Macaca mulatta: one gene and its partners. The protein of the gene in region 2 purifies or fractionates together with the protein of the main gene of each other region. This does not show direct contact. Links are inferred from orthologs where the notes say so. Each region holds a gene or a part of one and is shown on either strand. Other genes may lie near its edges.

Evidence for each region.
Region 1: the proteins of CDKN1B (region 2) and CCNB1 purify together in Homo sapiens (affinity purification with mass spectrometry; 5 studies listed by BioGRID and IntAct, with this or other methods). This does not show direct contact. The link is inferred for Macaca mulatta from reciprocal best matches to the Homo sapiens genes CDKN1B and CCNB1.
Region 3: the proteins of CDKN1B (region 2) and XPO1 purify together in Homo sapiens (affinity purification with western blotting; 4 studies listed by BioGRID). This does not show direct contact. The link is inferred for Macaca mulatta from reciprocal best matches to the Homo sapiens genes CDKN1B and XPO1.
Region 4: the proteins of CDKN1B (region 2) and CCND3 purify together in Homo sapiens (affinity purification with western blotting; 9 studies listed by BioGRID and IntAct, counting the BioPlex papers as one, with this or other methods). This does not show direct contact. The link is inferred for Macaca mulatta from reciprocal best matches to the Homo sapiens genes CDKN1B and CCND3.
Region 5: the proteins of CDKN1B (region 2) and CCNE2 purify together in Homo sapiens (co-immunoprecipitation; 5 studies listed by BioGRID and IntAct, with this or other methods). This does not show direct contact. The link is inferred for Macaca mulatta from reciprocal best matches to the Homo sapiens genes CDKN1B and CCNE2.
Region 6: the proteins of CDKN1B (region 2) and SPDYA purify together in Homo sapiens (affinity purification with western blotting; 3 studies listed by BioGRID). This does not show direct contact. The link is inferred for Macaca mulatta from reciprocal best matches to the Homo sapiens genes CDKN1B and SPDYA.
Region 7: the proteins of CDKN1B (region 2) and CDK6 purify together in Homo sapiens (affinity purification with western blotting; 8 studies listed by BioGRID and IntAct, counting the BioPlex papers as one, with this or other methods). This does not show direct contact. The link is inferred for Macaca mulatta from reciprocal best matches to the Homo sapiens genes CDKN1B and CDK6.

What each region holds. Positions count from the first base shown.
Region 1 is NC_133411.1:77,232,276-77,236,494, reverse strand, and holds the start of CCNB1 (G2/mitotic-specific cyclin-B1), read right to left. Parts: upstream 2,801-4,219; 5' UTR 2,631-2,800; coding exon 2,610-2,630; intron 1,983-2,609; coding exon 1,812-1,982; intron 1,718-1,811; coding exon 1,547-1,717; intron 1-1,546. UniProt on the Homo sapiens protein: Essential for the control of the cell cycle at the G2/M (mitosis) transition.
Region 2 is NC_133416.1:15,138,590-15,142,623, forward strand, and holds the start of CDKN1B (cyclin-dependent kinase inhibitor 1B), read left to right. Parts: upstream 1-1,234; 5' UTR 1,235-1,712; coding exon 1,713-2,187; coding exon of another isoform or gene 2,188-2,211; intron 2,212-2,721; coding exon 2,722-2,843; 3' UTR 2,844-2,851; intron 2,852-4,034. UniProt on the Homo sapiens protein: Important regulator of cell cycle progression. Inhibits the kinase activity of CDK2 bound to cyclin A, but has little inhibitory activity on CDK2 bound to SPDYA. Involved in G1 arrest. Potent inhibitor of cyclin E- and cyclin A-CDK2 complexes.
Region 3 is NC_133418.1:63,249,455-63,252,954, reverse strand, and holds part of XPO1 (exportin-1), read right to left. Parts: intron 2,548-3,500; coding exon 2,379-2,547; intron 1,564-2,378; coding exon 1,429-1,563; intron 755-1,428; coding exon 595-754; intron 1-594. UniProt on the Homo sapiens protein: Mediates the nuclear export of cellular proteins (cargos) bearing a leucine-rich nuclear export signal (NES) and of RNAs.
Region 4 is NC_133409.1:140,231,242-140,235,272, reverse strand, and holds the start of CCND3 (G1/S-specific cyclin-D3), read right to left. Parts: upstream 2,801-4,031; 5' UTR 2,655-2,800; coding exon 2,457-2,654; intron 2,167-2,456; coding exon of another isoform or gene 1,957-2,166; intron 1,588-1,956; coding exon 1,372-1,587; intron 1-1,371. UniProt on the Homo sapiens protein: Regulatory component of the cyclin D3-CDK4 (DC) complex that phosphorylates and inhibits members of the retinoblastoma (RB) protein family including RB1 and regulates the cell-cycle during G(1)/S transition.
Region 5 is NC_133413.1:105,279,625-105,283,124, forward strand, and holds part of CCNE2 (G1/S-specific cyclin-E2), read right to left. Parts: intron 2,605-3,500; coding exon 2,458-2,604; intron 86-2,457; coding exon 1-85. UniProt on the Homo sapiens protein: Essential for the control of the cell cycle at the late G1 and early S phase.
Region 6 is NC_133418.1:96,143,769-96,147,268, reverse strand, and holds part of SPDYA (speedy protein A), read left to right. Parts: intron 1-160; coding exon 161-332; intron 333-3,500. UniProt on the Homo sapiens protein: Regulates the G1/S phase transition of the cell cycle by binding and activating CDK1 and CDK2.
Region 7 is NC_133408.1:126,535,039-126,539,315, reverse strand, and holds the start of CDK6 (cyclin-dependent kinase 6), read right to left. Parts: upstream 2,801-4,277; 5' UTR 2,675-2,800; intron 2,022-2,674; exon of another isoform or gene 1,227-2,021; intron 164-1,226; exon of another isoform or gene 2-163; intron 1-1. UniProt on the Homo sapiens protein: Serine/threonine-protein kinase involved in the control of the cell cycle and differentiation; promotes G1/S transition. Phosphorylates pRB/RB1 and NPM1.

The DNA of each region.
Region 1 (4,219 bases), on a different chromosome or scaffold from region 2:
TGAGGCAGGTGGATCACGAGATCAGGAGTTCGAGACCAGCTTGGCCAACATAGTGAAACCCCGTCTCTACTAAAAATAGAAAAATTAGCCAGGCATGGTGGCACGTGCCTGTAGTCCCAGCTACTTGGGAGGCTGAAGCAGGAGAATCGCTTGAACTCAGGAGGCAGAGGTTGCGGTGAGCTGAGATGGCATCACTGCACTCCAGCCTGGGCAACAGAATGAGACTGTCTCAAAACAAACAAAAAGACTGATTCTAGGAACAGGGGTGGAGATGGGAGAAGTTCAGGAAAGCTTCAGGAGTTGATGCTTGAGCTGTTTTCAAGGATGAAAAGGTTATTAGCTAAATGAAAGGGTGGGGAAGGCATTCTTACTAAGTGGGAAAGCAAAGGTAAGAATCGGTATGGACCTTTCAAGAAAGCATCATGTAGTTTGATATGCCCAAAGACCATGCTGGCTACATGTTTCATGTGCTATGCCCAGAAATTCAACACTAAAGCAATAGTTTTCAATGTCTTATCCTTAGATATAAGAAGCTTAACTGGCTGGGCGCGGTGGCTCACGCCTGTAATCCCAGCACTTTGGGAGGCCGAGGTAGGCAGATCACGAGGTCAGGAGTTCAAGACCAGCCTGGCCAACATGGTGAAACCTCATCTATACTAAAAATATGAAAATTAGCTGGGTGTGGTGTTGTGCGCCTGTAATCCCAGCTACTAGGGAGGCTGAGGCAGGAAAATTGCTTGAACCTGGGAGGCAGAGGTTGCAGTGAGCCGAGATCACACCACTACACTCCAGCCTGGGCAACAGAGCCAGACTCTGTCTCAAAAATTTTTTTTTCAGATAATTTTCCCAACTGGTTTTAATTAAGTTTAAAAAACTGAGCTTCAGAATGCAGTTCATTGCAGTTTCATCAAAGCAGCCTCCTCTACATGACCTACTTTTCCTTCACAGGGAGGTCTATCATAGGATACATTTACATACCTTTTATTTAATAAAAAGTTACTGGTTTTGAGGCTAAGTGTTAATTCATCTTCTTAACCACTCCCTGAAAAGTTGCATTCTTCCTGTTTTACTCTTTTGCATTTTCCAGTGTTACAGGTTTATTATTTAGTAGCCATATTAGGCAGTAAAAAATTTTAAGAGAACATTCTGTTTACTCCGATAAATTCTGCAGAGGTGGCTTGTACTTGGACAACAAAGCCTTTGGCTCAGGCAGGTACTACTTAATATCATTAACGAAGGAATATAAGACAGTTAACAATTAAAAGCATAGATTCTGAAGCCAGACAGCCTGAGCTTAAATCTCATATGGGCCACTTACCTGTGTGACCCTGACATAACCTCTCTAAAGCCATGATTTAAATAGTAGAGGTGACAATACCTACCTCAGAGTACCTGTAAAGATTATGTGAGTTAATGCATGTAGAATGTTGGGCAGAGATTGCCTCATGCTAAGCACTCAATAAATGGTATTAATTTGAATGCTCTTGCAGTGAAATAAGGGACAAGAAATAATCAACAGACTCTACAATGGTAAGAATAAGTTTACCAAAATAGGCTCAGGCGAAAGTTTTTCTTCTTTAACAGGCTCAGGTTCTGGCTCAGGTTCTGGCTGTGGCACTGGCTCAGACACTGGCACTGGCACCAGCATAGGTACCTTTTCAAGAGGTTTTGGTAGTTTTTTATCAATAACTTTTCCAGTAGCTGAAGGTTTTACTTCCTGTAGATGAAACAGAGAGAATGAAATGTTTCTGCATCAAAGGCCACAGTTGTAAGGCCAGCTCTGACAGAAGTTAGGTCGGGAAGACAGTTACCTTCTTCATAGGCATTTTGGCCTGCAGTTGTTCACTGACTTTGTTACCAATGTCCCCAAGAGCTGTTCTTGGCCTCAATCCGGGCTTGGAGGTTGCAGCAGGGGCCGTAGGAACGCGCTTTGCGCCTGCCATGCTGATCTTCGCCTTATTTTCAGCATTAATTTTCGAGTTCTGAAAGAAGCAAAGACCACTTTAAGAGCTGGTCCACGGAGGCTCGAGTAAGTCAAGGGTTAATTAAGGTGGGGCAGAAGAGAAGTTCCCAGAAGGAAAGCCGAGTAAAAATGGGTTCCGAGGGAAAACGTGGGTCCCAGAGTCTACTCTGCGGCCGTGACAAGTCAGTTTCCGCCGACAACCTCTACATTTACCAATTGAGGGATTCCCTGATTAGTCCTGCCCAGCCCTAAAATACCGAGAATTTACGTTTGAAAGGAAACCGAAAAAGCCTCCAATTGCAGACACCTTCTCTCTGGGAAGGGGGTTACAGAGCTGCTGGCGGGCCCACTCAGGGACCCTCTATCACTTTTTCAAAAGGTTCCCAGTCGACTTTCCATCTCCCCCAAACATTTATCCAATATCGGTCCAGTTCTCTTTCTCACCTTCCTCCCTCCATCCATCGTCCCCCACACTCCCCCACCAGGCCTGGGCCCACCTCGACGCTCTCTTGGTGACTTCCCTCCCACCTTCCTCCCCAAATCGTTCCTGCGGCCCTCTCCCGCTCGGGGGGCTCCCGCAGGCGAGGCAGAGCGAGCAGGCTGCAGCGAAGAAGGCCGCGTCAGTTCGCAGTCCGTAGCGGCTCACCCTGGTGACTCGGAGCGCCATGGCTTCCTCTTCACCAGGCAGCAGCTCAGCGGGGAGAAGCAGAACACCGGAGCCCCGACCAGCCGAGGACCTGCACCCAGCAGAGACCAACAGCCGTTCCTCCGCAGCACGCCGGGAAGAGCAGGCCCAGCCTCAGGTTTAAACCCCGCACTGCTCCCTCCTTATTGGCCTGTTCGTGGCACTCACTCCCTTCCCATTGGCGGCTGCCTGTCCCGGAGAATGCGTTTCCAGGGCGATCCCGCGAAGGCGTTCGAGAGGGGCGGGGCCAGAGTGAGGCTAGGTCGGAAGGCGTGGCCAGGCTCTCCCGTGGTCTGCCTCCGCGCCTGCGCTCTGGGGCAGCTGCCGCGGCCACCTGGAGAGCCGAGCAGCGCGAGCACCGCCCACCTGGAAAGGTGAGCCGGGCAAGAGTGTGCGCTGCCAATATCAGCTCAGGAAAGGCCTGGTGACCTTTGGAAGGTGACAGTGGCGCGGCCACAGTCTCAGAAGTGTCAAAAGTAGTTTTGGATCTAGTCCAAATTATTGTTGTACACTTTCCATTTCTACGGTAGCAGCAATAATATAGTTCATGAAAGGCTTTGATATACGTTCTTTCATTTGATCGTTGCAACAACTCTCTGGGGTGGAGGAACTGAAGCTCAGCGCCTTAGATGACTTTGCCAGGATCACACATTAGCAACGGGGGAACAGAATTTAGGGGGTTTTTTTTGAGGGGGAGGGAGGGGGCGTATTCGTGTTTTCACAATACTGATTGTCCCTTAACAATATTACTTCATTACTTCAAGATTGGCCAGTTTCCCAAGGCCAATTGTTTTGTGTGTTTTAGCTTCCTATTTGGAAATAATTTCATACTTGCACCAGTTGCCAACAAAAATCTTGTAAGGAACATTTCTGTACCCTTTACCCAGATTCAACTATCCTTAACATGTATTTGCCTCTCATGGGAAGATCAAGAAAAACTAAACAAAAAGACATTTTACACCATTTGCTTTGTTATTTGCTCAATCTCTCTCTGGATCCAAAGAAAAATAAGAGGGTTCTTTTTGCCTTCTACTCCTCAAAACACACCAGGAGCTCAACAATTGGAGGGGAGGCTGAAGGACAAAAACATTGATACCTCATAGAGCAACGGTATAAGAGCCAATAGAGACTGCTGGCCCTGGAAGTCAAGGATCCGAAAGAAGGCGCCCAATCATTTGGTTTCATTCGATCGTTATTCAGTCTTCTATCATCATAGTTCTACCCTCCTACTCGGATGCCTACCATGGGGCCCTTACCATTGCTCTCCTCTGCCTGGAATGCCCGCCTCTTGTTGCACTCAAGCCCCTGTTCTATTCAGGTAATTCCCATTCATCCTTCAGTTTTGTGTTCAGCATCCATCCTCAGTCTTTCTGGGTTTGATCAATCCTGCCTCGCCCCATGCAAGGGCGAGAGGCAAGGGGTGAGGCAGGATTACTTATCCTCTGTGTTCCAGTTTAAAAAATTTTTTTTTACTTTTTTTTTTTTTTTTTGAGACGGAGCCTGTATCTGTCTCCCAGGCTGGAGTGCAGTGGTGCGATCTCGACTCACTGCAACCTCCGCCTCCTGGGTTC
Region 2 (4,034 bases):
CACGGTGCTCAAGCCCACACTGAGAGAGAAATTTCCAGTTGCAAAAGGGAGAAGAGAAACGCTGGAATACTAGCATCGGACGTTAGGACATAGATGTGGTGGTTTTAAAAATCATTTCATCATCTGGAGTTTGACCCCGAGGGGAGTCTTTTCACTCTTCAGCCCTCTGAAAGCATTCACTAGCATCTGAATATTGTTCTGAGTTTGTTGGAGCAGTGAAATCTGGTGAGAGAGAAGGGTGGAGGAAGGAAGGAGCTGTTGTATTTGGCGGCTGGAGTCAGGTAGAGGAAACTGCTACAATCCCGGGAAAGAACAGAAAAGTAGAAAGAGAGGAGTTCCCACACGCAGCCAATGTCCATGGCCTTAACTGTGCTTGGGAAACAAGATCCTGGGCCAGGGGTGTTCCCTCGTTTTTCAAAACTAAATGTGTCTGAGACAGCTACAAAGTGTATTAAGGGACTTGAGAGACTACTTGAGTTTTTTTTTAATCTTGAGTTCCTTTCTTATTTTCATTGAGGGAGAGCTTGAGTTCATGATAAGTGCCGCGTCTACTCCTGGCTAATTTCTGAAAGAAAGACGTTCGCCTTGGCTTCTTTCCTAGGCCCCCAGCCTCCCCACGGATGGCAGAAACTTCTGGGTTAAGGCTGAGCGAACCATTGCCCACCGCCTCCACCCACCCCCAGCTAAGGCACGCCGGCAGGGGGGGCGCCCAGCCCCCCAGCAAACGCTCCGCGGCCTCCCCCGCAGACCGCGAGGTGGGGGCCATCGGGGAGGGCCGAGCTGGGGGCAGCTCGCCACCCCGGCTCCAAGCGAGCTGCCGGCGATCTTCGCGGTCCTCTGGTCCAGGCCCCGGCTTCCCCCGCGAGGAGCGGGAGGGAGGTCGGGGCTTAGGCGCCTTTGCGCACCCGCCAGTGCAGCGCCGGGCCCCGAACCCCAGGCCCCGCCCCAGGTTCCCGGCCGTTTGGCTAGTTTGTTTGTCTTAATTTTAATTTCTCCGAGGCCAGCCAGAGCAGGTTTGTTGGCAGCACTACCCCTCCAGCAGTCACGCGACCAGCCAATCTCCCGGCGGCGCTCGGGGAGGCGGCGCGCTCGGGAACGCGGGGAGGCGGCGGAACCGAGCCGGGGCCACCTTAAGGCCGCGCTCGCCAGCCTCGGCGGGGCGGCTCCCGGCGCCGCAACCAATGGATCTCCTCCTCTGTTTAAATAGACTCGCCGTGTCAATCATTTTCTTCTTCGTCAGCCTCCCTTCCACCGCCATATTGGGCCACTAAAAAAAGGGGGCTCGTCTTTTCGGGGTGTTTTTCTCCCCCTCCCCTGTCCCCGCTTGCTCACGGTTCCGCGACTCCGACGCCGGCAAGGTTTGGAGAGCGGCTGGGTTTGCGGGACCTGCGGGCTTGTACCCGCCCGGACTCGGACGGGCTTTGCCACCCTCTCCGCTTGCCTGGACCCCTCCCCTCCCCGCCCTCCCGCTCGCCGGTCCATTTGATCAGCGGAGATTCTCGGCGGCCGTGCCGGGGCTTCCCCGCAGCCCCTGCGCGCTCCTAGAGTTCGGGCCGTGGCTTGTCCGGATCTGTGTCTTTTGGCTCCGAGGCCAGTCGCTGGGCTTCCGAGAGGGGTCCGGGCTGCGTAGGGGCGTTTTGTTTTGTTCGGTTTTGTTTTGTTTTGTTTTTTTGAGAGTGCGAGAGAGGCGGTCGTGCAGACCCGGGAGAAAGATGTCAAACGTGCGAGTGTCTAACGGGAGCCCTAGCCTAGAGCGGATGGACGCCAGGCAGGCGGAGCACCCCAAGCCCTCGGCCTGCAGGAACCTCTTCGGCCCGGTGGACCACGAAGAGTTAACCCGGGACTTGGAGAAGCACTGCAGAGACATGGAAGAGGCGAGCCAGCGCAAGTGGAATTTCGATTTTCAGAATCACAGACCCCTAGAGGGCAAGTACGAGTGGCAAGAGGTGGAGAAGGGCAGCTTGCCTGAGTTCTACTATAGACCCCCGCGGGCCCCCAAAGGCGCCTGCAAGGTGCCGGCGCAGGAGAGCCAGGATGTCAGCGGGAGCCGCCCGGCGGCGCCTTTAATTGGGGCTCCGGCTAACCCTGAGGACACGCATTTGGTAGACCCAAAGACTGATCCGTCGGACAGCCAGACGGGGTTAGCGGAGCAGTGCGCAGGAATAAGGAAGCGACCTGCAACCGACGGTAATGACCCCTTCCCAACCGACGGTAATGACCCCTTCCCAACCACAGAAAGTCTGTGTCTGGGGCCCCGCTTTGCCTGCTGGAGGGTGCTAACCTTAGCTTGCTTTTCGGCGTATTCTGATTTAGCTTTGGGAGAGCGAACTTTATTGGTCTTAGGTGTTCAGTGCTACCTGGCCCACTGCTTGTCTGTGACTTTTAAGTCAGAAACTGGAAATGGTAAGATCCGATAATTTCCCTAACTTAAGACATCGCCGTCCCTCCCACTAGCAACCCCTAGGTATGTGACAAAGTTGGGATGTTTATCAACGGTCCGCCTCCTGGCTAGGGAGAGAGCTCTGGGGCGGAGAATGCACTTTCTTCTTTTTGAAAACAACCTCATTTTGTGTCCTTAAAGGCTACTGAGGATGACGGATCCTGGATTGTGGGTGGAGGGAGTGGGTTTTTCGTCCCGCGACTATTGGGCCAACTTCTGCCAGCCATTGTTTTTTCTAATAAAGATTGTGTGTTCTTTTTAAAAATTTCCTCTGCTCTTAGATTCTTCCACTCAAAACAAAAGAGCCAACAGAACAGAAGAAAATGTTTCAGACGGTTCCCCAAATGCCGGTTCTGTGGAGCAGACGCCCAAGAAGCCTGGCCTCAGAAGACGTCAAACGTAAACAGCTAGGTGGGTTGATCACTAAAGGAGCACGTACTGAAACCCGGGGCCATCAGACCTCACGATACCTGATCTTGCTGGTTGCTGGCAGATTACAATCTTTTGGGGTTTTGTTTTGTTTATACTTTCGTGAGGTCAAAAAAGTAGCAATGGGAAGGTTGGGGATACTGTAATTCTTCTATGCCTAGAGATACTTTCTCTTGAAACAGTAGACCAGAGCAACTACTTGTAACCAAGGCCCCATCGGGTAAGAAGGTCATTTCCCTGTGAGTCCCACTAAAACATGTTGGGAACAATAGGTTCTTCGCCCATCCGAACAAGAACTGGGGTACTCCCTCAGTCCCACTTCATGAGAATTCATTTCCCAGAGGTTCAGCTTGAGTCAGTAACAGATTTTGAGCCATACATGGAAAAATGGCAAGTACATTATTAAGTTTCAATTTTAAGGGGGAATGTTTGGTAGAAGTTGCTCACCTTTGGTTATGCAAGGGATTAGAGATGTCAGTGGGTGGTATGTTGTGTTCTTTGACATTTTCATAAACTGTCACTTTCCTTGTTTGCTCCTAAGTTTGGAGAGAGAAGGAACCAGTATTTGCAAAAACCAAAATGGAAAGATAAAAAACATTACTAAAGTTTCTACAGAATTTCTGGTAACACTGAAGTTGCAAAGCAGAAGTTAAATTAACTCTCGTCAGTAAGCAATCCAGGAACACGTCAGCCAGTGTATGCTAATTGTGCCGTAACAGGGTGATTTGGATATTTGTAGGGGAAATGGGTAGTAAATATCAAGACTGGTGACCGCAGGTCAGCCCAGCACAAAGGAAGTGGAGATTTTTCCATGCACAAGAATCTGATCACTGTAAATAGCTAATTTGAATAATTCAGTCCCCAAATGTACATGGATTGGCTATTCATAATGATCGAACTACATATATTAATAGTTTGTTAGCTTCTTATAGACCAAGACTGACCTCTTTATTTTCTAAAGCACACACGTAGCTTAGCATATGAGGCGATCTTAATATTGATGTTAACTTTTTAAATCCTCATTTATAAAAAATTTTAAAACAACAGGGATTACGGTGGGATTCAGGTGTGTTGTGTCTTTAAATTGTATATGTGACTTTACATATCTTATATTTTTCAGAGCTTATACAAAACGGCACTATAGAACCTCTATTTTATAGCACCA
Region 3 (3,500 bases), on a different chromosome or scaffold from region 2:
ACTGGGGTGCAGTGATGCGCTCTCGGCTCACTGCAACCTCTGCCTCCTGGGTTCAAGCAATTCCGTCCCTCAGCCTCCCAAGTAGCTGGGATTACAGGCACCCGCCACCATGCCCGACTAATTTTTTTGTACTTTTAGTAGAGACGGGTTTCACCATCTTGGCCAGGCTGGTCTTGAACTCCTGACCTTGTGATTCACCCACCTCAGCCTCCCAAAGTGCTGGGACTACAGGCATGAGCCACTGTGCGTGGCCTTTTTTTTTTTTTTTTTTTGCTTTTTTAAAGAGGCACGGTCTCGCTCTGTCACCCGGGCTGGTGTGCAGTGGCGTGGTCATAGCTCACTGTAGTCTTAAACTCCAGGATGCAAACAACCCTCTCGCCTCAGCCTCTCAAGTAGCTGGCCCTACAGATGCACACCACCACATCTGACTCATTTTTTTGTAGAGACGGGATCTTGTTTTGTTGTCTAGATTGGTCTCCAACTCTTGGGCCCAAGCAATCCTCCCATCTTAGACTTCCCAGAGTGCTGGGATTATAGGTGTGAGCCACTGTGCCCGACCAGGAACATTCTACGTTTATTAAAAGGCATATTTACTCTTGTAGGTGAGGGAAGGCCGACTTAAGGAGATTAGCCACATATTCCTGAAGAAAGATTTGGTTGTTAACTGGATTTCCAGGATTTAATGATGTACTTATTTTTCCTTCTTCAACCAAATTAAACATATATGCAAGAATTGATGCATGCATTGTTAAACCTGTTGATAAGAAGAAAATTATTAACTCCAAAATGTAATATAACCATAGATCTTAGTGTTTTTTTTTTTTGAGCAGAGTCTCGCTCTGTCACCCAGGCTGGAGTGCAGTGGTGCAATCTTAGTTCACTGCAACCTCTGCCTCCCGGATCCAAGCCATTCTCCTGCCTCAGCCTCCCGAGTAGGTGGGATTGCAATCGCATGCCACCATGCCCGGCTAATTTTTTTTATAGTGGCCAGGCTGTTCTCGAACTCCTGACCTCATGATCTCCCCGCCTCGACCTCCCAAAGTGCTGGCATTACAGGCATGCGCCATCGTGCCCGGCCGGCACTTAACATTTAAATCTTTTTTTTTTTTTTTGAGACGGAGTCTCGCTCTGTCGCCCAGGCTGGAGTGCAGTGGCCTGATCTCAGCTCACTGCAAGCTCCGCCTCCCGGGTTCACGCCATTCTCCTGCCTCAGCCTCCCGAGTAGCTGGGACCACAGGCGCCCGCCAGCTCGCCCGGCTAGTTTTTTGTATTTTTTAGTAGAGACGGGGTTTCACTGTGTTAGCCAGGATGGTCTCGATCTCCTGACCTTGTGATCCACCCGTCTCGGCCTCCCAAAGTGCTGGGATTACAGGCTTGAGCCACCGCGCCCGGCCCAACATTTAAATCTTAAACGTATTAAATTCTTACCAGCAGTATGTGAAGTGTCTGTCACAACAGAAAAGATATGCTGGAGAATATCACAAAAATAAGTTTGATAAAAACTCTGAGCTGCAGCTTCTTCTTGTGCAACATTTTGTAAGAGTGTAAAAAGTATCTGTAAGCCTAAAAGACATAGAATACCAATGGAAAGTTACTACAGACTGACAGCACTCATGATAGTATTTAGCTCTTATCAAAGTATTCTGAATCTAACCCTATTCTCCCTTTTTTTGGGGATGATGACTAATAATTACTTGCCTAAGGTTTCTTAAATTGATAATGGAGTACAACTATATCCAATGCTGGCTTACTTATAAATTATAATCTAAGTTATGTGAGAGCTAAACTATGAAGATGTAAAGGCATAAAGATCATATAATGGACTTTGGGGACTTGTGGGGAAGGGTGGGAGGGGGTGAGGGATAAGACTACACATAAGGTAGAGTTCCTACTGCTCGGCTGATGGGTGCACCAAAATCTCAGAAATCACCATTAAAGACTTTATTCATGTAATCACCAGTTGCCCCAAAACTATTGAAATTAAAAAAAAAATTTGTGAATATTAAAAAAAAAAGCCTATGGAGAAAAATTATAATCTAAGTTACGACCATTACCACCCTTTCACCATTTCTGAAAGCTTAGCTGATTCTGTATGAACTTCTACAACATCACTACTCAGTAGAATTTGGTATTACATAAACCAATTATTACTAGGCCCCTCTCCCATAACTCAATTCTGCCTATGGACTCACCTGGAGTGCAGTGGAACAGTTGATTAAACTGCTTATAGGATTTTCTCAGATGTTCATATATGTAATTCATGCATTCAAAACTCTGAACAAGTAATACCTTCCTATGTACAAGTATATAACTATCTATATTTGTATTTTTGGATTGACAGGCAAATGAATAAAAGAACATCTTTTAAATTTATTTACCCGTATCTGCGACATTCCTCATAGTATGTTTGAAGGCCCAAATGATGGAATCCAAAACAAGTTTAAACTGTGTAGGTGGAATAGCAAGGAATGCTGGGAAACAATGAGAATTGACAGCCTGAAGTAGTAAGAAAAAGTTCGTTCTGTGTTCAGGATATTCTTCAAAGTCCTAAAAATAAGTGGTGGAAACAAAATAATGTTTCAGTGTCTTCGCTGTGCTAGCAGGAGGGGAAAAGCAAGGCTTAATCCAGTAAAAATGTTTGGAGTTTTCAATAAACCATAGAAGATATAATGCCTCCTGAAAGATAAACCCAAACAAAATACAATCCACCTCCCATGGAAAATGAAACTGTTCCCTGTTACGCACATGAGTTATCAAATTGAAAGAGAAAGCTATCCTTATTAATAGAGAACTCATCAAAACCATTATTACCGTAACACTACTACTATCACTTTTGTTTTTAATTTGAAACCACCACTACAGATTACGAAAAAATTTAAGTTACCATGTGAATGTGTCCACTTACCATTTCTTTTATCTCTCGCTTTTTTTTTTTTTTTGGAGACAGAGTCTTGCTCTGTCGCCCAGGCTGGAGTGCAGTGGTGCAATTTCAGCTCACCGCAACTTCCGCCTCCTGGGTTCAAGCGATTCTCTTGCCTCAGCCTCCCGAGTAGCTAATTTTTGTTTTTTAGTAGAGACGGGGTTTCACCATGTTGATCAGGGCGGTCTTGAACTCCTGATCTCAGGCAATCCACCGGCCTCGGCCTCCCAACTGTTGGGATTACAGGCATGGGCCACCGCGCCTGGCCATTTTTGTATTTTTTTTTTTTTTTTTTGAGACAGAGTCTCGCTCTGTCACCCAGGCTGGAGTGCAGTGGCGCGATCTCGGCTCACTGCAAGCTCTGCCTCCCGGGTTCACGCCATTCTCCTGCCTCAGCCTCCCGGGTAGCTGGGACTACAGGCGCTCGCCACTTCGCCCGGCTAGTTTTTTGTATTTTTTTTAGTAGAGACGCGGTTTCACTGTGTTAGCCAGGATGGTCTCGATCTCCTGACCTCGTGATTCGCCCGTCTCGGCCTCCCAAAGTGCTGGGATTACAGGCTTGAGCCACCGCGCCCGGCCT
Region 4 (4,031 bases), on a different chromosome or scaffold from region 2:
GCACACACACCACCTCCATCTTTTCACAAAAAGGAAGTTCCCCTTCTACCTTCCAGCCCCAACCCCTCCAAAAACATCTTGCTCTCTGGCCCTGGAAACTAGCTCCACCTTCAGACTTGCCAAAAACTACCAGATTCATCACAAAGAGCTGTGGAGTCTCCTGGATTCCCAACTCTGGCCTCCTACTCCCATCTCTGAGCTACTTGGCAGGAAGAGGAATCCTGTTCCTCGACTCACAGCAGTCGGGGGCCCCAGTACCCTGGCTTCCCTGCCAGCCAATCACAGCAGCCTGCTTGCTGCCCTCCTCCCTGGGAGATGGGGCCCAGAGACTCCTCTCAGGGTCAGCAGAAGACTTGGCCCGCCACAGAGCAAGGTGGAAGAAAGTGCCAGCTCACCCACCCTCTCCCCCCAGCCCCCTAGGAGACAATCTGCATGTCCTAAATAACCTCTTCCAGATCCAGCAGCTGCCCGGGACTGAGGCTCCTTCTGAGGCGGGACAGAACCGGTGACTTTCCTGCCCTGTCTGAGCCCAGCCCAAGTTTCCAGCAAGAGGCCCAGGGAGCCACTTCCCAAACCACAGGAGTGACAGCAGCTCCCCACAGGGTTATGAAAGACCTTGGTCAGAGAGGGCGGGCCGGGGGAGGGGGCACCATTATCACATCGGAAGCAGCTGCAGCTCACCTCCCTGCCTGTCCCTCAGCTTGGGCCTTTGGCTAAGGGGGGTAGAGGGAGCTGTTTCCACCAGGCCCAAAGCAGCTGCTCCAGTTCCTCAGAATGAGGACAGGAAAGGATTAGGAAGAAGCTGTCTCTTCCGGGATATAAGAGGAAGCAAAGAAGGTGGGATGAAATACATCAGCCCTTCCTTAAAGCAATCAGAGCCTGGCTTTAATTGGCTCTGGGAGGTTTTTCTATCACAAAGTCCACATGAGGATAAAGACTCAACCAAGGCAAACCCCCTCCCCCACATGAAGCACATTCCACTCCCCTACTCCAGTGGGGGTGTGCAGGCATGCCCTTCTGCTGCCAATAAATAACTCATGGTGGCTGCGTAAACCCAGAGGCAAAGTACTAGTGAGTGTAGACATGCAGTTTGACTTGTTGCTATCTGAGGGAAAGACCAGGAAGGAGTGGCATCCCCTGGAGGTCAGGAGGGCGTTTAATGCCTGACTGCAGCTCGAGCCTAGGCGGGAGTGATACTAACCATCACACCACACTGCCCCATCGTTTGTTCCACCCTAATTCCCTTCCCAAAGGTCCTGATCGCCTTGCGCCCTCTCCAGGGAGCAGAAAGCCTCTGATATCTCAAGCGTTCCTTTTCCTGGAAAGTGGGGAGACAGTATGTGTCGGGGGTGGGGGGAGTTACACACGCACCCGCAACTGGCGGGGAGAGACAGCGTGGTCGGTGTAGATGCACAGTTTTTCGATGGTCAGGGGCGTGGTCTCGCGCAGCTTGGAGGCCAGCAGCATGCAGACCGCACCCAGGAGCTGCAACTGCGCCTTTCGGGTGGGGACACAGGACAGGTAGCGATCCAGGTAGTTCATGGCCAGGGGGAAGACTTCCTCCTCACAGCGCTGCTCCTCACATACCTGGGGGAGGGCGCACAGTCACTGCTGGGGCCGGAGCGTGGGGAACACAGCAGCGCGGGGGTGGGGGCGCTGAAGTGAGGTGGGATAGGGAGCAAAAACGGGAGAGAGGGTAAGCTACTTACAGAGACAAGGACCAATAAAGGAGGAGGATGGGCCCTCCCCAAGGTGACGCCCCCCACTTCCTCTGCGCGGCCTCCTCCCCTCTCCCCTTGGTGGGGTGGGGGTGGTAAAGTCAAGGAGCCCTTCCTCAAGAAGGATTCCAAACGGAGACTCCCCTCCCCCACAGCGACGGGAAGTGGGACGCAAGGGTCACCCATGGTAGCCAGAGAGCTGGGACCTCACCCCCATCACCGCCACCACTGCACACACCCGAAGGGAAGGGAGGAGGCTCCTGCCACTGCCTCCCGCACTTTTCATTTCCCTGTCGGCCGGAACAGGGCGCGCGCCACCCCCATCGCCTTCCCCGCCAGAACCCCGCGACAGACACAGGAACCGGCTCCCGGGCGGGGGCGGCCGAGCCCAGGGTTTTCCAGGCGCGCTCTCCGGAGAAGGCCGGGAGGGGGAGGGAAGTGGGAGACGCTGTGAGAAGCCGAAGGGGAGACGATGTCCCTGGTCCCGTTTTCTCGGCCCGAAGAGAGGCACAGTTACGGTGCCAAGTGACTGGCACTCACAGTTGGGAGGAGCCGATTAGGGCTCGGGAAAGCAAGGGAGGCAGCTGGCTAGGGTGCCCTAGTGAAAGGCCAGGCCCCGGGGGTCTTAGCCTCGGAGCATCCTGCAGATTGCTGTGGGGACCGCGATGTCCCGACAGGGCGGCCCCGGTGTGTCCAGACCCGGGAGCGGTGGGGGAGGGGGACGCGTCCGGGCGGTACCTCCAGCATCCAGTAAGCCAGCATCTTCCGCATGTGCGGCTTTATCTCCCGCTGCACGCACTGGAAGTAGGAGGCGCGGGGCACGTAGCGCTCCTCCAGGCGGAGCAGGCTCTGCAGGACACGCTGGTCCCCGAGTAGCCGCGGGTCCGGCCCGGCCCGGGGCGCGTGCCGGGTGCCTTCGCAACACAGCAGCTCCATACTCGGGCAGCGCACAGGCAGGGCGGGAGTGCGGGCTCGCGAGTTTCAAGGCAGGCGACGGGCCGGAGAGCGCGGAGAGCGGGTCTGGCGCTGGCGCTGGCGCTGGCACTGCGCGGCGGATCCCCAGCCCGCCCGCCGCCCGCGCGCGCCGCTTCCCTGACAGGCGCCCCGCCCCTCGCGACGATGTAGCAACCGTGGAATGCTCGGACGTCGCAACGCTCCGAGGGGCGGGGCTGCGGCGCCCCGGACGGAAAGGGCTGGCTGGGCGCTCTCCCCTCCCTCCCGCGGCCCCATTGGGCCGCTGAGCGCAAGCCGGCCGGCTTCCGGGCACTCCGGGCCCTCTGGACCACCGGGTGCAGAGAACTTTCTAGGAGGTGGGCCTCCTACCCACCCACGAGCCCTCCCATTTTGCTTCTCGGACTCTAGTCACCCAGGAAAGAATTTTTCTCCAAAGGTCATTCATTCACTTATTCATTCGTCAAACCCTACTTCACCGGCTGCTTGCTCTAAGGAATGCGATAAATAATGTCAGAGTCAGTTCTTAGTGAACACTGCTCCAAAGCCTCACAATGTAATGACTCACTACATCTTCACGAAAACTCGGAAACCGAGGCAACTGTCATTCGGTTGGCCCGTGGCAGAGCTAGGATTGGGAATCTGGCCTTCTTGCTCCAGATTCTGTGCTCTACACCACTGCTAGTTAAACAGTGATCCCAGACCTGTCCCGTGCATGGTCATCGCCTGGGAGCTGGTTAGAAATGCAGACTCTCAGGCCCACCCCTAACCTGAATCAGAATCTGCATTTTAACTAGATTTCTGTGCACTTTAAAGTATGAGAGCTGGGCCGGGCGCGGTGGCTCACGCCTGTAATCCCAGCACTTTGGGAGGCCGAGGCGGGCGGATCACAAGGTCAGGAGATCGAGACCACGGTGAAACCCCGTCTCTACTAAAAATACAAAAAATTAGCCGGGCGCGGTTGTGGGCGCCTGTAGTCCCAGCTACTCGGGAGGCTGAGGCAGGAGAATGGCGTGAACCCGGGAGGCGGAGCTTGCAGTGAGCCGAGATCGCGCCACTGCACTCCAGCCTGGGCCACAGAGCGAGACTCCGTCTCAAAAAAAAAAAAATAAAAATAAAAAAAAAAAAATAAAGTATGAGAGCCTTAGTCTAAATCAGCATATAACAGAACGGAAAGGCCATGGAGTCAAGGCCTCCTCACCTTGTCAAGTTGGTTGCCCAGCTTTGGACAAGCCCCTAAAGTCGGCCTTAGTTTCTGTTTGGAGAAACTGGACGGAAAAACTAGATTCTCACTGAATCAGTTTCTCCCACAGACTCTGAGATCTACCGGTTGCATTTCTTCCACCTCCCAAACTTTTGGTT
Region 5 (3,500 bases), on a different chromosome or scaffold from region 2:
TGAGTTCCATCCTTAAGATATCCTCTTCACTGCAAGCACCATCAGTGACGTAAGCAAACTCTTGGAGTTTAGGAGCGTAGATTTCCTTTAAATTGTAATTTTTTTATTGAGTACAATTGAGATAGAAATTAATTACAAATGTTCCTCAGTTTACAATGGGGTTACATCCCAATAAACCAAAATATCGTTTAAGTAGAAAGTACATTTTTATTTTCTTGGAGAAATAAGCAAAAATTTAAAAAGTACATTTTCTTTTTTTTTTTTTTTTTGAGGCAGAGTCTTACTCTGTCACTCAGGCTGGAGTGCAGTGGTGCAGTCTCGGCTCACTGCAACTTCCACCTTCCAGGCTCAAGTGATTCTTGTGTCTCAGCCTCCCCAGTAGCTGGGATTACAGGTGTGTGCCACTATGCCCAGCTATTTTTTGTATTTTCAGTAGAGAGAGGGTTTCACCATGTAGGCCAGGTTGGTCTCGAACTCCTGACTGCAAATGATTTGCCCTCCTCGGCCTCCCAAAGTGCTGGGATTAACCACCACACCTGGCCAGAAAGTGTACTTTCAACTTACGGTATTTTCAACCTATGCAGACATAGCCCTGTTGTATGTCAAGGGGCATAATGAATGCAGGTTGTTTTCAACCATCATAAAGTCAAAACATTGTAGGTCAAACCATGGTAAGTAGGGGACCATCTATATACAAATCACACACAAGCTTCAGATTTAAGGACAGCTTCACTAAGTAAATGTAAATCTCAGTAAAATAATTCTATAGTCAAACTTAGTAAGACATTTTCATATCTAGGTATCTAGTAACTATATTGATTATCAAGACTTCTTTTCATAGAATTGACTTTGAATTTTCATTAACACAACTAGAGTATGTCATTTCAGTTAAAGAACAACCAAACTTGTTTTAAGATTGCCTGATACATTGGTCAGATCAAAAGGAGACACCCTGCTGGGTGCAGTGCAGCAGCTCACACGTATAATCCCAGCACTTTGGGAGGTCGAGGTAGGAGAATCATCTGAGCCCAGGAATTTAAGATCAGCATGAGCAACAAAGAGAAACACTGTCTCTACAAGAAAAAATAGCCAGGCATGGTGGTGCATCCCTGTAGTCAGCTATTCCAGAGTCTGAGGTGAGAGGATCGCTGTAGCCTGGGAGGTCAAGGCTGTACTGAGGTGTGATAGTGCCACTGCATCCAGCCTGTGTGACAGCAAGACCGTGTCTCAAAAAACAAAAGCAAAGCACCAAACAAATAAGGTCTAGAAACTAAAAACATTTCCTTTACCCTAGTACAAAAATATGGTTAGTCAAAAAATACTTCATGCAGTTTGGCTAACAGGTCCGTTTTAGCACTCCAGAGAAGAATTAGAATCATCAAAGGATTAGGTGTCTCCCACATAGGAGAACAGGCTAAAAGATGAGGATTTCGGTCTAGAAAGTTGTCTAAAACAGTATAATTTCAAGTAAGGATAGACTGAACACAAGTTTATGTGCCAAATTCAGCAGAATTTGGGGATGGCTCTTAAAGCTCAAAAGACATTAAAAAGAAAAAGGAAAACACTTAATATATGATCACAATCTCTCTTCTTTCAAAATGATACCAGCTATAAAAGTCTTAGGTGAAAGTATTGATGATATCCATCACGTATTAAGAAACGTAAATTGAGCTTATGCGAAGGAAAATCTTAAGAAAGGAGTTGCCTTCTATCATGGCAGCACCATGAGATACAAAAATATTAGGCTGGCCAGGCGCGGTGGCTCATACCTGTAGTCCCAGCACATTGGGAGGCTGAGGCGGGTGGATCGCCTGAGTCAGGAGTTCAAGACCAGCCTGGCCAACATGGTGAAACCCCATCTCTACTAAAAATACAAAAATCAGCTGGGCGTGGTGGCAAGCGCCTGTAATCCCAGTTACTCAGGAGGCTGAGGCAGGAGAACCACTTGAACCCGGGAGGCAGAGGTTGTACTGAACCCAGATCATCCCATTACACTCCAGCCTGGGTGAAAGAGTGAGACTTTGTCTCAATAAAAAAAAAAAAAAAAAAAAAAAAGCTGGATAAACCATTATTCTAACCCAACACAGTATTCATTTCATTTCATTTTATTAGCTGTTTAGTTTTCAAAGGTCATTCTGTTTAATACAAATGCTATAATTATGTATATAAATAGAGCATCAATATGTTTCGTTTGGCAGAATGAGCCATGGGACATTTCACTTAGATACTAATCCCAGAATCTAAACCAGAGATTTATAATAAGGCTCAGACATTACAGAGGGAACTATGATAATTTATCATTTATCCCTGTGATAATGTTCAGAAAATGTACTGAGAAACAAAAACATTCACTTTTCTAAGGAGTTAATATAAGACATAGTATTCTTTGGGATTAATACGTTGATTAAAAAAAAAGTTTGGGATAAATATATCTAAGGATAAACTTTGAGAACTTACCTCAAGTTTGGAAGCAATGAATAATGAGGTAATTCCAATGAGTTGAAGCATATTTTTATTTATATCCTTTTGTGTCAACATAAATCTATCAAAAAAGTCTTGTGCAAGATAAAATGTTTCCCTATGAAGTGTGTATACTTCACATACCTAGAGAAGATTCCAAACATTTAAATATTATCCTCTGAATTTCTCAAATTAGAAAGTCATCTCTCAGCATATCAGATTTTAAAATATGTTTAAGCCAAACTGATAGCAAAGCTAAGATAGGAAAGGAAAAAAAGAAACTAACATGTGTTATTAGGATAAATCTATTACTATCCACATTTACTAGTTTTATCGTTTTTCTTACCTCATTTATTTTTCATATTTTACTGCACTGGTTAAAAATTATCGAAGGATACTGAACGTTTAACATTGGTCATAAAATCTTATCCCTTGTTTCTGACTTTAATAGGAATTGCCCTGATGTTTCACTATTGTTAATAATAATAATAAATAGTATCTGTCATTTCCACACTTTTAGGAAAAGCTTGTAATTCTCACAGTAACTCCTTAAGTAGGTACCATTATCCCCATTTTGGAGGTGAGGAAATAGAGATATATACCAGAGTTTTTTTTTTTTTTTTTTTTTTTTTGGAGACAGGGTCTCGCTTTGTCACCCAGGCTGGAGTGCAGTGGCTCACTGCAACTTCTGCCTCCCAGCTTCAGGTGATTCTCCTACCTCAGCCTCCTGAGTGGCTGAGATTACAGGTATGTGCCACCATGCCCAGCTAATTTTTTGTATTTTTAGTAGAGATGGGATTTTGCCATGTTGGCCAGGCTGGTCTCGAACTCCTGGCTTCAACTGATCTGCCTGCCTCAGCCTCCCAAAATGCTGACATTACAGGTATAAGGCACCACACCTGGCCACCTGAGTTTCTAATAATAAGTTAAGAAAATCTCATTTGCTGGCCGAGTGCGATGGCTCACACCTGTAATCCCAGCACTTTGGGAGACCAAGGCGGGCGGATCACTTGAGGTCAGCAGTTCAAGACCAGCCTGGC
Region 6 (3,500 bases), on a different chromosome or scaffold from region 2:
GTAAAATTAACTGAATCTCTATTTTTGAACTGCATTTCTTTAAGTAACGTTAAACACCTTTCATGTGTTTATAAGCCATTTTTATGTCTTTTGGTGTGTGTGAACTACCTGTTTCTGTCCTTTACCCATTTCTTTTTTGGGTTGTGATCTTCTTTGTTAGGTATCTGGCTAATACAGTTGAAGAAGATGAAGAAGAAACCAAGTATGAAATTTTTCCATGGGCTTTAGGGAAAAACTGGAGAAAATTGTTCCCTAATTTCTTAAAGTTAAGGGACCAGCTCTGGGATAGAATTGACTATAGGGCTATTGTAAGCAGGCGATGTTGTGAGGAGGTAAGAATTTTAAAAAAACTTTACATATGTAATTTTTGTTTTCTGTTTATCTAATTATCCTTGTTTTTTAAATGTGCTTCTAATGTTTTGGTATTCTGGGTTTTTTTTTTTTTTTTAATATGTAGAGTAGACCATTGATCATTGCCATGAATACAACTTGTGTATTACAATGTTGCTGTCTTGTTATCACCATAACTAAAAACTGTCATCCAGGTAAGCCGTGCTCACGGCTGTAGTCCCAGCACTTTGGGAGGCTGAGGCAGGTGGATCTCCTGAGGTCAGGAGTTTGAGACCAGCCTGGCCAATATGGTGAAACCCCATCTCTACTAAAAATACAAAAATTAGGCTGGGTGCAGTGGCTCATGCCTGTAATCCCAGCACTTTGGGAGGCCGAGGCGGGCAGATAACGAGGTCAGGAGATTGAGACCATCTTGACTAACATAGTGAAACCCCGTCTCTACTAAAAATGCAAAAAAATTAGCCGAGCGTGGTGGCGGACACCTGTAGTCCCACCTACTCGGGAGGCTGAGGCAGGAGAATGGTGTAAACCCAGGAGGCGGAGCTTACAGTGAGCATAGATTGCACCACTGCACTCCAGCCTGGGCGACAGAGTGAGACTCTGTCTCAAAAAAGAAAAAGAAAAAGAAAAATACAAAAATTAGCCAAATGGGGTGGCCGATGCCTGTAATCCCAGCTACTTGGGAGGCTGAGGCAGGAGAATCACTTAAACCCAGGAGGCGGAGGTTGCGGTAAGCTGAGATGGTCCACTGTACTCCAGCCTGGGCAACAGAGCAAGACTCCATCTCAAAAACAAACAAACAAAAAATTGTTATTTCTATTTTTCAGAGCAGCCTACTTCTATAGTACGTACTTTTTTTTTTTTTTTTTTTTTTGAGACAGAGTCTCGCTCTTTCGCCCAGGCTGGAGTGCAGTGCTGCAATCTCAGCTCACTGCAACCTCCGTCTCCCGGGTTCACACCATTCTCCTGCCTCAGCCTCCCGAGTAGCTGGGACTACAGGCACCCGCCACCATGCCCGGCTAATGTTTTGTATTTTTAGTAGAGACAGGGTTTCACCATGTTAGCCAGGATGGTCTCGATCTCCTGACCTCGTGATCCACCTGCCTCAGCCTCCCAAAGTGCTGGGATTACAGGCGTGAGCCACCACGCCCGGCTTATAGTAAGTGCTTTTATTTTAGTGTATTTCTTCTGTCTAAAGGATCATCAATATATTGAAAAAGGGTGATATGAACAGACCAAAATATCTTATTTAGGATTAGAATAACACTGGAGTTGAATAACAATTTCTGCTCAATAAAGTATGTGAAATTTCAGGTTCCCAAAATTGAAACACTATTTAACATGTGTATTAAATGGTATACAATTTAAATTTTTTTTTAAATCATAACTCTTTTCACATAGAATATATTGTTTCCTTGATGCTAAATCTTATTAGGATAAATCAGCAGGACACTAAAAATTTAATAATCAAGTTATTTTATCAGATGTTCTGATTTTTTTTTTTTTTTTTTTTTTTTTTTTGAGACGAAGTCTCGCTCTGTCGCCCAGGCTGGAGTGCAGTGGCCGGATCTCAGCTCACTGCAAGCTCCGCCTCCCGGGTTTACGCCATTCTCCTGCCTCAGCCTCCCGAGTAGCTGGAACTACAGGCGCCCGCCACCTCGCCCGGCTAGTTTTTTGTATTTTTTAGTAGAGACGGGGTTTCACTGTGTTAGCCAAGATGGTCTCGATCTCCTGACCTCGTGATCCGCCCGTCTCGGCCTCCCAAAGTGCTGGGATTACAGGCTTGAGCCACCACGCCCGGCCAAATGTTCTGATTTTTAATAAAGTCAATATTTCAAACTACAGAAAAATTCTAGAGTAGAAAATTAAATGGAAAGCAGTGGTCACTGTAAGCTGTAGTATTAGTTCAGAAAAATATGATAAATGTGGGCTAGTTTATATACTTGCAAATCTTAAAATTTGATAGAATTAACTTACTCATTAATATACATTGACTTAGTGAGCACTTAGTAAGTATCTACCAGAAACTATATTATTTCTTTTAATTTAAAAATGGCAGCCAGGCATGGTAGCTCACATCTGTAATCCCAGCACTTTTGGAGGCTAAGGTGGCCTGGATCGCTTGAGTCAGGAGTTCAAGACCAGCCTGGGTAACATGGCAAAACACCATCTCCACAAAAAATACAAAAAATTACGTAGGTGTGGTGGTGCACACTTGTAGTTCTAGCTACTTGAGAGGCTGTGGTGTGAGAATCACCTGAGCCCAGGAGATTCAGGCTGCAGTGAGCCATGATTATGCCACTGCACTCCAGCCTCAGCAACAGAGCAAGACCCTGTCCCAAAAAATAAAAATAAAAAAGGCTTGAACAATAATAGCAGTATTACATCTATTAATTACAGGCAATAGGGATATGAATGTTTGTTATATTATTCCTAATGCTTTTTCATAATTTTAAAATTTAGCAACATTTAAAAAAATATTAATGGAACTTATTTTTCCTCTTCAAAAAGGTCACCTTATTTAAATGAATTTAATTCCATTATCCTTATCACAATACTTTGTTTCTTTCTGTAGCACTGAATAAAATTTGTAATTATTTATTTGCTTATCTATTGTCTAAACAATAAACTGTAAATGTAATGAAGTGAAAAATCTAGTACACTTCTAATATCTCCCATCTCTGTCCTCACACTTCAATTACAACAATCACGCATTATTCTCTTTTACTGAGAAAACAGAAGCAGAACAGACTGTCCACATGCTCACATCTTATCGTCCATCCTACCTACATGCATACCCCTATATTCTGCCTTCCCTTTGTTATTGTGAAAGAATGATCTTTGCTCCTATCCCAGTCCATTCCCTCTACTTGTGCACTAGATCTCATTTTTTCTTGCTTTCTCAAGGACATCACATTCCAGTAATTGTCCCCTTTCCAGCATTTCACATTTTTTATTTTATTGGATCACTGCCATCAGAATATAGAATTGCTCTAAGATATCCATCAATAAAAATAAAAACGAAAACTTTATCCCCCAGCTACCACTACATTTCTCTGCTTTGCCTTCCTTATAACTAAACTCCTTGAAGAATTGCTTGTATTCTGTCTCTACTTCTGTTCTTTCCATTCTCTTTGAACCTGTTATAT
Region 7 (4,277 bases), on a different chromosome or scaffold from region 2:
CCCTCCGCGCGCTCCTGCCCTCTCCCAAGCCGCTTAATCCTTCCTGGTTCCTCCGAGAAAAGCGAAGTTACTTTTCTTTCCCTGCAGGGCTGAAGCCGTCTTCGCGCGGAGAGGTTGCAGGGGCCCCTCGGGGATGAGCGAGCGGCGCGGGACGCAGTGGAACGGGAGGGGGCGTGCCGAGCAGCCCAGAGTGTGCCGGGAGCGCGGGGGAGGGGAGGCGCCGGGCACGTCAATGTCACGGCTTAATATTTATCCCTATATCATTGTGTTGCGTCGCTACCCTCCCCGCCTCCTGAGGCCCGGACGTGCAGGGAGATGGGGTCCAGGGGTGCCGGAGGGCGTTCAAGGGTCGCGCACAAGCTGGAGCGGAAGGACTGTGGGTCCATCCGTGTGGGGCCGCAGAATGTGGGTGGGGGCTCCCAGGACCCTGTAACCCGATGCTGTGAGTGTGCGAGAAGGGGTGGTCAGACATCTGCTCAGAAATTGCTTCCTTTCTTTCTACTTTCAGTTTTTCTACGAGGAGACATTTAAAAACGACTCGCATACACAAATGGTCTCTTTGGGGTAAAGGAGTCTCGGTTGGAAACGGAATTCTCTCTCCGACTGGGAGGACCTCCCTGGTGGAAACCTTGGGAAGACCAGCCATCTGGTCGGGGAGGGTTGGGGCTAATCGGGGGTGGGCGAACGAGAGGTCCTGGGGGAGGGGAGACACTGTCCCCCACGGGATCCCAAGGGTGGGAGAAAGGGGTGTTCGTCACAATTTCGCTTGTCGTCTTCTTAAAGAATAATTTCAGGAAGAGGATAGCTTAATCGCGCCTCGTCCTGAAGTTTTAAATTGATTTCGACCTGAGCAAAACTCAACCTCTCTTTCAAAGGGTGGGGGGTGGGGGGTTAAACCCTGCGCCTCCAGGGGTGAGAAACAAGGTCTCTGCCCTCGGGGCCCGGACTCGCGAACCTTTTCCCACTCCCAGGACCACCCCGCTGTAGGTAGCGGAGGTGGCTGCCCCATTCCCTCTCCGGCTAAAGGCCGGGTCCAGGCTGCAGCCGGACGCCCCCGGAGCCCTCTGCATAACAAAGCGCCGGAGAAGGGTACCCTAACTTTCCCTCCCCATTCAGCAGCTATCTGGGACCTAGGGAGCCTCCCTCCCCCACGGCCGCCGCGGCCTCGGCAGGACTTTCACCACGCTGGCCGCGTGTCCGGAATTCCCGGGGCACCTCGGAATTACCTGCCTCGCAACCGCTGCCCCGCTCGCCTTTTGCCAGGAATTAAACAAACGGCGCGACCCCCACGATGAGCGCGTGGAGCGGACCGCGGCGAAAGCAGTGCTTCTGGCACTCACTCCATTCAGAACTTTCCTTAAAAGCCGAGGAAAGAGCCCCCAAGGACTGCCCGGGCGTCTGAGCCAGGTCGAGGGCCACACAGGTAGCCGGGGAGCCGCCGCCGGCCGCCCAACCCGCCTCTCCTGCGTCCCCCCATCCCCCTCCCGCTCGAGTCTAGCCCCGGGCTCCGCAGCGAAGGAAGCGTCGGGGACGTCCCACCCCCGCAGGGAACTTCGCCTGCTGCCCCCGCCGGGCCCCGCACTACCCTGACTCTCCCCCCACTCGCCCCCCAGACGGTCGGCTTCGGCGGAGAGAAACGGGAGCAGCAATGCCTTTTCCCCCCCTCTCCTCCACTTTTTTTTTGTTGTTGTTGTTGCTTTCCCACGCTGGCTGAATGTGACTTGACCCCATTTCAAAAAAAGTTTGACATAGTGCTTCAACATTTCCGCATTCCTCCGCGACTACAAAGGCTGCAGCCGCCTCCTTCTGCTTTCTGTCTCTGCTCTCTGTCTTCACACTCAATGAAATCCTTCATGCGCCTCTCCCGAAGCCTGCCAAGCACCACAAGGGTCGCCACCAGCACGGCAACAAGAGGCCACACCGGGGACCGCGACTCCCGCGTGTGCGCACACGCAGATGCGCCCATATGCACACGGACGGGCGCCCTGCGGGGACAAGGGCTGCTCACCACGGGGCGTGTGTTTAACTCCAATATTTTAAATGATAAAAGTAAACTTGGAAACTAAAGCAAACGTGCGTCTTCGTGGGGCTCCAAGCCTGGGCACCGGCCGGCTGCGTGCACTCTTCTGTGCATAACACGCCCGCAGGAAGCCTGCGTTAACATTTATCTCGTGGAGGGGAAGGTGGAGCCCACACCCACACCTCAGCGAGCTGGCGAGGGAGTTTTCGTGGGGGAAATGCAAGCACATTCTCCAGCATGGAGTCCCTAGAGGCAGTGCATTTTGAACCCTAAATGTGAATTATTATGTGAATGTCCGAGTAGAGTTCCAGTTCCGTTTGGAGAAACTGGATGAGGAGTGTTCTGTGTGAGTGTGTGTGCGCACGGGTACGTGGAAGCAGGATCTCGGTGTCGCGGGTGTCCCTAGCGTAGGATCTCCCCCTCTCGTCAGATTAGAATCCTCTAGCTCCCCAAAACTGGCCCCCATAACCAACGCCGTCTCAGTTCGTAAGGGGTTAACCAAAGCCGATTCCAGGGAAACACAGGTCCCCCCCACCCCCCGCCAGCCTCCACTTACCCCACCCACAGTTCTGCCTCGGACCCCGGCCAATCCCCCATATCTCCCCAGGGACCCCCCACCCCGCAGCCCACCCACCCGAGCGCACAGCTCCTCACCTGAGGGGCCCAGTCGCGTCGGGCCTCCTGAGGGGGCTGCGAGTGTCAGTCGGCTCTCCGCACGTGTCCGCGGCCTCGCGGAGCAGGTAATCAGACTCTGGGGAAGGAGTTACCAGCACTCTCTCCGGCGAGGGGGTGGGCACAGCGGCGGAGGGCGGAGGGAAGGCGGAGGGCGCCGCCCGCGCCGCTAGCTGGGGGCGGACGGGGGCCGCGGGGCTCTGGCCGGCGCTGGGGGCCCCAGCCAGGGAGGCAGCGGGGGCGACCGCGCGGGGTGGGGGCAGGGACCCGAGAAGCCAACTCTGCCGGAGACCCACCCAGCGGCGAGGCTGGGGGCTCGTGGCGCAGTGGCAAGAAAGTGTGCAAATTAAAGCCTTCCGGAGAGAAAGGAGGCGGCCAAGCCCCGGCAGTGCTCCGAGCTCCGGGCTCCCTAGCTCCCTTCTACGAGTCGGGGGCTAGAAAGGCGCGGGGCGGGGGGGTTGGGGGGGCAGGGGAGTTAAATGAAAATTTCCGGCTTTCACTGAAACTGTAGTAGGGGGATCCTGCGACTAAAATAAGCGGCGTTAGTGGGAGAGAGTGGGACGTGTCGTCGGGAGTCGGCGGAGTTTCCAAACCCAGGGTCGCCCAGAGTTGGGGTTTTGACAGGGTGAAGCAGGGGGTATCCTCACTGTGTGACGTGGACGGATGGGAAAAACACAAAACAACTAACAATAATTATGAAGGGCCGATGGGGGTGGTAAATACCAATACTTTCCAAGAAACTGAAAAATCAGACCAAAAAATAACTCTTCTCTTAAAAAAATAAAGAAAAAGTTTGGCAGGATGCCTTGCAGAAAAGAAAATACTAATCTGTTCAAGCACTTTTCACTTTCAGCATGAGCTACATTTGTTTTGTTTTCCTTCGCTTCCTTTCTGCCTCACAAAGCCCTATCTTTTCCTTTTAGACAGAGGGTATGGTTTGGAAATTGTCAGGCACTCTTATGGTTAACGATCTACTTGAAGGGGCTGGCGGGTTCACAATTATTAAGTGGTTAGTAACTGCTGAGGGTTCACTAACGTATTTCAGAGGAGCTAAAAAGACTAAAATTTAGTGTAAATAATAGAACTGCAGATAATAGATACATACACAGAAAGAGGAGTGCTCAGTTTAAATGCATTATTGGAAATCTGAAATTTGAAACCTTGTAAGAATGTATACTTTACCTGCTGAGAAACCCTTGAATACAATTATTTCAGGTGAAAATGAGCTTTTGGAGAAAAAAAGTCTTTAAAACCTTCTACAATGGAGTAAAAGAAAACTTGAAATAGCTGTCTTTTTGGAAAGAATTTGGTGTTCTCCCCAAAATCTCTATCTGTAGAATACTTGAAACCCTTTAAAACATATTAAAGAAAAACTTTTCACAAAATTATTTACTTCAGTGCTTTGTAGAAAAATTAAAACCCGGCAAAATTCTGTTTGAATTGGACATACTACTTCTATAAATCTTTTGACTTTAAAACCATGTTACTGATCTCATAGTAAATCAAATTTTTGCCTTTATAAAATTGATTCTATATTATAGTATAAGGTAAGGCTAGGGAAATAAAAAATTGATGCATTTCCAGT